Macaca mulatta: one gene and its partner. The protein of the gene in region 1 purifies or fractionates together with the protein of each later gene. This does not show direct contact. Links are inferred from orthologs where the notes say so. Each region holds a gene or a part of one and is shown on either strand. Other genes may lie near its edges.

What was found.
Region 2: the proteins of SEC16A (region 1) and SEC23B purify together in Homo sapiens (affinity purification with mass spectrometry; 3 studies listed by BioGRID and IntAct, with this or other methods). This does not show direct contact. The link is inferred for Macaca mulatta from reciprocal best matches to the Homo sapiens genes SEC16A and SEC23B.

The regions. Positions count from the first base shown.
Region 1 is NC_133420.1:6,040,552-6,044,293, forward strand, and holds part of SEC16A (protein transport protein Sec16A), read left to right. Parts: intron 1-286; coding exon 287-368; intron 369-544; coding exon 545-662; intron 663-859; coding exon 860-971; intron 972-1,175; coding exon 1,176-1,281; intron 1,282-3,433; coding exon 3,434-3,574; intron 3,575-3,742. UniProt on the Homo sapiens protein: Acts as a molecular scaffold that plays a key role in the organization of the endoplasmic reticulum exit sites (ERES), also known as transitional endoplasmic reticulum (tER).
Region 2 is NC_133415.1:65,478,527-65,482,268, forward strand, and holds part of SEC23B (protein transport protein Sec23B), read right to left. Parts: intron 3,111-3,742; coding exon 2,874-3,110; intron 2,582-2,873; coding exon 2,496-2,581; intron 1,718-2,495; coding exon 1,573-1,717; intron 1,136-1,572; coding exon 977-1,135; intron 15-976; coding exon 1-14. UniProt on the Homo sapiens protein: Component of the coat protein complex II (COPII) which promotes the formation of transport vesicles from the endoplasmic reticulum (ER).

The sequences.
Region 1 (3,742 bases):
ACGATCCCAGCTCACTGCAACCTCTGCCTCCTGGGTTCAAGCGATTCTCCTGCCTCAGCCTCCTGAGTGGCTGGGAATACAGGTGCATGCCACCACACCCAGCTGATTTTTGTATTTTTAGTAGAGACGGGTTTCTCCATGTTAGTCTCTAACTTCTGACCTCAGGTGATCCGCCCGCTTCGGCCTCCCAAAGTGCTGGGATTACAGGCATGAGCCACCGCGCCCGGCCGGACTTTTTCTTTTAGCTGAGCCAGCGTGGGGTCTTTCTGTGTTTATGTCTGCCCAGGTTTGCCAACAGCCTCCCAATCAACGACCCTCTGCAGACAGTCTACCAGCTCATGTCCGGGCGGATGCCCGCCGCGTCTACGGTGAGTGGCACTGCCTGGTGGCTCGCACAGGCTCCACTGCCTGTGTGGAGTTTGCTCATGGGTGATGCTGTCACAGGCCGTGAGGTGCCTCCTCGTGCTGGTGAGCCCAGCTGCGTGGAATTGAAACGGTGCTGGCTTCCAGGGATGAGGCTTCGTTTTGTTTTTCCTCATGTTAGTGCTGTGGAGACGAGAAATGGGGAGACTGGAGGCCGCACCTTGCCATGGTCTTGTCCAACTTGAACAACAATATGGATGTCGAGTCCAGGACGATGGCTACCATGGGCGACACTCTGGGTAGGTCAGGGGTGGAGATGGGCATCAGGCGTCATGGATGGAGCACCGAAGGCCCGGTTGTCTGTGGCATTGGCAGAAATCACAAGAACCCGGCCTTCTTGGTCCAGCTCGCGTCTCTAGTGCCTTCTGTGCACATGCTTGACTTCCGCGGGCATCCGCAGTCACTGAGACTCCGCCTGGTTCTCGTGTCTCTCCAGCTTCGAAGGGCCTCTTAGACGCGGCCCACTTTTGCTACCTTATGGCCCAGGTTGGATTTGGTGTTTATACGAAGAAAACTACAAAGCTTGTCTTAATTGGATCAAATCACAGGTAAAGAAGCAAGTCAGTGTAGTCCTGTAAGTTTTCCTTTAAAAGTAAGACGAAATCCTTCTCCTTTAGTTAATTCAGAAATGGACAGAATCATGTCTTGATTTGTCACATGGTGGGACACACTTCTGGATGACCTGCTCTGAGGTTGACTCTGCTAATAATTGGCCATGTTTTTCAAATCAAAATAATTCGCTTCCTCTACAGTTTGCCATTCTTAAAGTTCGCAACCAATGAAGCAATCCAGAGGACGGAAGCCTATGAGTACGCCCAGTCCCTGGGTGCCCAGACCTGCCCCCTGCCTAGTTTCCAGGTAAGCAGGTGCTGCCAGCCTGCAGCTGTCATGGGTGGGCAGGCGCTCAGTGCTAACAAGCTTTTGGCTACTTAGATTTTTTGAGTTCTTATGGAAAAAAATGATGTGAGTTTTTTCGGGGAGGATCTTGAGAAGACATTTGATCTAAAATGCTAAAAAACTAGATCACATTGAATTGAGGCTTTCCGTTTGCATTTGATTTCAGTTATTTTCATGAGCTTTTTTTTTTTTTTTTTTAAGGAGACAGGGTCTCACTCGTTGCCCAGGCTGGAGTGCACTCTGCTTTGATCACTCCCAGGCTTCAGCCATTTCCCTTGGCCTCCAGAGTAGCGGGGACTACAGGCAGCACCACCATGCCGTGCTAATTTTTTTGTTTTTTTTTTTTTTGAGACGGAGTCTCACTCTATCGCCCAGGCTGGAGCGCAGTGGTGCAATCTCGGCTCACTGCAAACTCGGCCTCCTGGGTTCACACCATTCTCCTGCCTCAGCCTCCCATGTAGCTGGGACTACAGGCGCCCACCACCGCACCCGGCTAATTTTTGTATTTTTAGTAGAGACGGGGTTTCACCGTGTTAGCCAGGATGGTCTCGATCTCCTGACCTCGTGATCTGCCTGCCTCGGCCTCCCAAAGTGCTGGGATTACAGGTGTGAGCCGCCGCGCCCGGCCGTATGAGCTGTTTGTAATATTTGAGGGAGGTATTCTCTGATGCAGTATGGGGGTGGTGTGTATAAAATATACATAGAGAGAGGCTGGGCATGGTGGCTCATGCCTGTAATCCCAGTACTTTGGGAGGCCAAGGTGGGTGGATTACCTGAGCTCAGGAATTAGAGACCAGCCTGGCAACGTAATGACACCCTGTCTCTACCAAAAAAAAAAAAAAAACAAAAATTAGCCAGGCATGGCAGCATGCGCCTGTGTTTCCAGCTCCTCAGAGGCTGAAGTGGGAGGATCGCTTGAGCCCAGGAGATTGAGGCTGCAGTGAGCTGGATTGTGCCACTGCACTCTAGACTGGGTGACAAAGTGAGACCCGGTCAAAAAAAAAAAAAAAAAAAAAGTATCTAGAGAATGCCTGTGGGCAGCTGGAGCTGCACGGAAGGCAGTGGTCTTCCTGCCGTGCTCTTGGGGTGTTGTGGCTGTGAGAGCCGAGTGGCGCCATGAAAGGGGTTGGCGGGGAAAGCAGGGTGGGTTTCTTCCCAGCTTAGTCACTTACTTTGCTCTTGAAATCCTTCAGGGAACAGGGACTAGGACTGTGGTCGGCGGGCGTGGTGGGTGGGAGACATGATGAGTGAAGCGTCCAGAAGAGTCCACAGCTTCCAGGGTGACTCTCGGACGCAGGGGAGCCCCCGGGCAGCGCGAGGCTTTGTCCATCAGTGATGCTCGGACGCAGGGGAGCCCCGGGGCAGCGCGAGGCTTTGTCCATCAGTGATGCTCGGACGCAGGGGAGCCGCGGGGCATCACGAGGCTTTGTCCAACCACGATACTCGGACGCAGGGGAGCCCCCGGGCAGCGCGAGGCTTTGTCCATCAGTGATGCTCGGACGCAGGGGAGCCGCGGGGCAGCACGAGGCTTTGTCCAACCACGATACTCGGACGCAGGGGAGCCCCCGGGCAGCGCGAGGCTTTGTCCATCAGTGATGCTCGGACGCAGGGGAGCCGCGGGGCAGCACGAGGCTTTGTCCAACCAGGATACTCGGACGCAGGGGAGCCCCGGGGCAGCGTGAGGCTTTGTGCTTCGGTGATACTCGGACTCAGGGGAGCCCCAGGGCAGTGCAAGGCTTTGTCCGTCGGTGATGCTCGGACTCAGGGGAGCCCCCGGGCAGCGCAAGGCTTTGTCCATCCGCGATACTCGGACGCAGGGGAGCCCCGGGGCAGCGCGAGGCTTTGTCCTTCGGTGATACTCGGACTCAGGGGAGCCCCGGGGCATCGCGAGGCTTTGTCCAACCACGATGCTCGGACGCAGGGGAGCCCCGGGGCAGCGCGAGGCTTTGTCCGTCGGTGATGCTCGGATGCAGTGGAGCCCCCGGGCAGCACAAGGCTTTGTCCATCCGCGATACTCGGACGCAGGGGAGCCCCGGGGCAGCGTGAGGCTTTGTCCATCCGCGATGCTCGGAAGCAGGGGAGCCGCGGGGCAGCAAGGTTTCTGTCGTTTCAGGTGTTTAAGTTCATCTACTCCTGCCGCCTGGCGGAAATGGGGCTGGCCACGCAAGCCTTCCACTACTGTGAGGCCATCTCGAAGAGCATCCTGACGCAGCCGCACCTGTACTCCCCAGTGCTGATCAGCCAGCTTGTGCAGGTGCTGCCCCCGGCGCCGGTCCTCAGGATGCCGTGCTGACTGCAGGGAAGGAGGGCTTGCCAGAGCCCCCGGGCGTGGGGGTGGCGATGGTTCAGATGCGCGTTGTGGTAGACGCTCAGAACCTGCCTCTTGGGCAGATGAAGATCTCTGAATGGCTTCGTGTTTTGC
Region 2 (3,742 bases), on another chromosome or scaffold:
AGCATCTCATAGTGCTGTGAAGAGAGGAAAGCTATCATTAGGAAACACTGACATTATTCCCAAGGTATACCTGAATACACCAAAGGAGGTAATCAAATATAAAAATATGTAAATCATTTTCTTTTCTCTTTTTGTGATAGTCTCTCTCTGTTGCCCAGGCTGGAGTGCAGTGGTGCGATCTCCACCTCACGGGTACAAGTGATCCTCCTGCCTCAGCCTCCCAAGTAGCTGGGATTAAAAGCATGCGCCACTATCCCCAGCAAATTTTTGTAATTTTATTTTTATTTATTTATTTTTTGAGACAGAGTCTCATGCCGTCACCCAGGCTGGAGTGCAGTGGCACGATCTCAGCTCACTGCAACCTCTGCCTCCCAGGTTCAACGGATTCTCATGCCTCAGCCTCCTGAGTAGCTGAAATTACAGGAACATGTCACCACACCCAGCTAATTTTTGTATTTTTAGTACAGACGGGGTTTTCCCCATGTTGGCAAGACTGGTCTCAAACTCCTGACCTCAAGTGATCCGCCTGCCTGGGCATCCCAAAGTGCTGGGACTATAGGCGTGAGCCACCACACCTGGCTTAATTTTTGTACTTTTAGTAGAGACAGGGTTTCACCATGTTGGTTAGGCTGGTCTTGAACTCCTGACCGGAAGTGATCCACCCCCCGCTTCGAAAGTGCTGGGATTACAGCCGTGAGCCACCAGGCCCAGCCTGGAAATCATTTTCAAAAATATCTGAATAAAATAAAAATATAATTTTCAATGTCAAAACCCTTTGAGTAGTTTTAAGGCCACTCACTCTAATTAAGGTCTGAAAGTAGGAGCAATAATTTAATAGCAGCTAGGGTCAGAAAACTGTCTCTGAAACAGCGTCTTGCTGACCATGACACATGACAGCAAAGTAGCTGTCACTCCAGAGCAGCCCAAACCTGACAATGGGCTTTCAGAATTACAACCCGTACCCAAGAGCACCTACCTTCGTTGCCTTTTTCATGAATCGTGCATTATCTTTCTCAATATCATGCCAAGAACGAATAGGAATCTTTAATTCATCTCCAACCACCATGCCAGGCCCTTGGGTAGGGGGACCTCCAGTAAACAGCATGATCCTGGCTCCCGTGTTTGGAAAAGTGCCCTAAAATAGCGAATGGCAGCATGTTAGAAGTATACAGCCCCACCTCTGTGTATGGTTTCAATTTCCCAATAGAAATACTCCGAAGATGCATTCTCTCCAGCTGTTCTAAAAAGTGGTGATACTGCAGAATACTACAGATGATAATGCAGAAAAGCAGCACTTACCTTCTTCCAACCTGATGGGTTTGCACACTTTTATTAATTCGCTGTGAGTGCTCCCCATTGCTCTAATTCTCAGTTTTTCATGAAAACTTTTGGCATTTTCAAAATGTTGAGGGGCTCCCTCAACATGCATGATAATGATGCCTGAAATGCTTTCTGATACATTAACACACATGGTTGACTTAGATCACAAGTGATTTTCAAACAAAGCCAACAAATATATTTTCTGAGAGCAAGTCTGTATGATTTGAGAGGTCCTGGTAAATTCCAAATTACCTCCAGCAAGCCAACAGCAATGGACAAAGCAACGCCAGTGGATCGCAAAGGTCTCTTCCCCTGAGTTACTGGCCATGGGTCCCTCTGTAGCTCCCCAAGAAGATCAGTGAGGTTCATATCAATCTTGTGAACAGGCTGCAGAAATCTGCAAGATTTTGAACAGACACATCAACCCAGATTGAATAAAGTACTATGGTCTTCAACACTAGATGCCACACAATTATTGCTCTCCAAGATAATTATTCGGAGTAGTAAATGACGGGTAATTTTTTTCTTCAAAGCTATCTCTCTACTAACACAAAACAATTTAAAGCAGTTTTATTGAGGGATATAAAGCCCAATACTTAGCAATTTAAATATGCTGCATGGAAAAAAAATTGTCTTGAAAAGAAGCAATTCAGTTTAATTAACTTTTAGGCAGCAAAGAAATCCTAAGGACGTGCCTAACACAAGTTCAGTCTATGGGAGGTCCACTTAGGTGGACAATCGTCATCATTCCTCATCATTCTAATCTGTGCTTCTCTTAAGCCTTGAGAGTAAGAGGTTGTCTTCAGCATGTCGGGCGATGCATTTTATCGAGCTTGCTAGCCCAGTCTAGGGCAGCCCCAGGCGCTCAATGGGCTGAGTGAAGTGAATACCCGGTCTTAAGTATGTTTGAGGACACATGAAAGAAGTCTTTTCAGTTTTTCCAGTTTTACTTAAGCATCAAAAAGGACATCAGATGTGGAATGTCTAAGCACAGCAATTGAGCACAGTGGTCTCAAAACCTTTTTGACAAAATACTGAATACTGATGAGGCTTAACCATTTATCTTTTCCTCTAATAATAAGAAAATAAAAGTTCTAATATTTTTCTTTCCTTACTTCCGTGGATCATCTGCCTGTCCATCATAGTACATGTAACACTTCATGTTGGGATCTCACCTGGTTGAAGCAAAAGGGTGCTCCTGTGGTTGCACAGGTCGTGCTTGCTGCATGGGCATGGCTGGCTTGGTCAGGCCCAACATATCCTTAAAAAAAAAGGCCAAAAAGATTCATTTCCAATGACACGAAAAGTGAATGACTAATTTTTAAGAAATGTCCTCAATTGGGTGTGGTGGCACGTGCCTCTAGTCCCATCTACTCAGGAGGCTGAGGTGGGCCAATGGCTCGAGCCCAGGAATTCAAGGCTACAGTGAGCCATGATCACACCACTGAACTCCAGCCTGGGCTACAGGCTCTTTTAAAGAGACCCTAGTCTCTTTAAAAGAAAAGGAAAGAAAAAAGTCCTTGTTCCTGATCCTGTAAAAGTAAGGTACAAACCTGTATTTGCTTTGCAGTTAAATCCTTGGTCCCTCGGAAGACATAACTTTTGGAGATTCCTTCGCAGCTTAGTTCATGAACCTGCACCATCCTGCCAAATGTGATCAGACCCACCAGAGCATCTGGAGGAAGAAGACTCAGGGACATCTGCAGGGACTCTTTGAGTGCTTGAAGGTCATCTTCCTCCAGGCATGTGTCAACCACATAGAGAAAGATCAGAGGGGACTGAGCACCTCGCTTTGGGCAAAGAAAAACAGTATAATGATCAATATACAAATAGACTTAACCAGCACTTTTTAAGGCAAATTCGGTATGAAAATCGTAAGTCTTCATCTATATTTAGTTTTAGGAGATAAGGACATCTACACAAAGCTCTAATTAACTCATTAAATGACTTAGATTCTATTAAATCAAACTAAACATAAAAACTATTTGTATCCAACAACTTACTCAACATTTTTTAATACTTCCTACATGCCAGACATTGTTCCAGGTCCTGGGACACACAGTGAACAGAAAGAACAAAGACTTCTACTTGCCTCAAGGAGTAAGCTTTCTGGAATGGAGAGGTTAAGGGAGACTGCAAACACCAGGAGGAGAGGCAGAGGGCAGAGTCAACTGTTCAACAGAGAAGTCAGGGCAGACTCATTTAGAAAGTAGCATGTGAGCTGGGTTCATGCCTGTAATGCCAGCACTTTGGGAGGCTAAGATGGGAGGATTGCTTAAGCCCAGGAGTTCAAGACCAGCCTGGCAACATGGCGAGACCCCGTCTCTAACAACAACAAAAAGTATAAAAATTTAAAAATTAGTTGGGCATGATGGCACATGCCTGTGGTCCCAGCTACTCGGGAGGCGGAGGCAGGAGGATC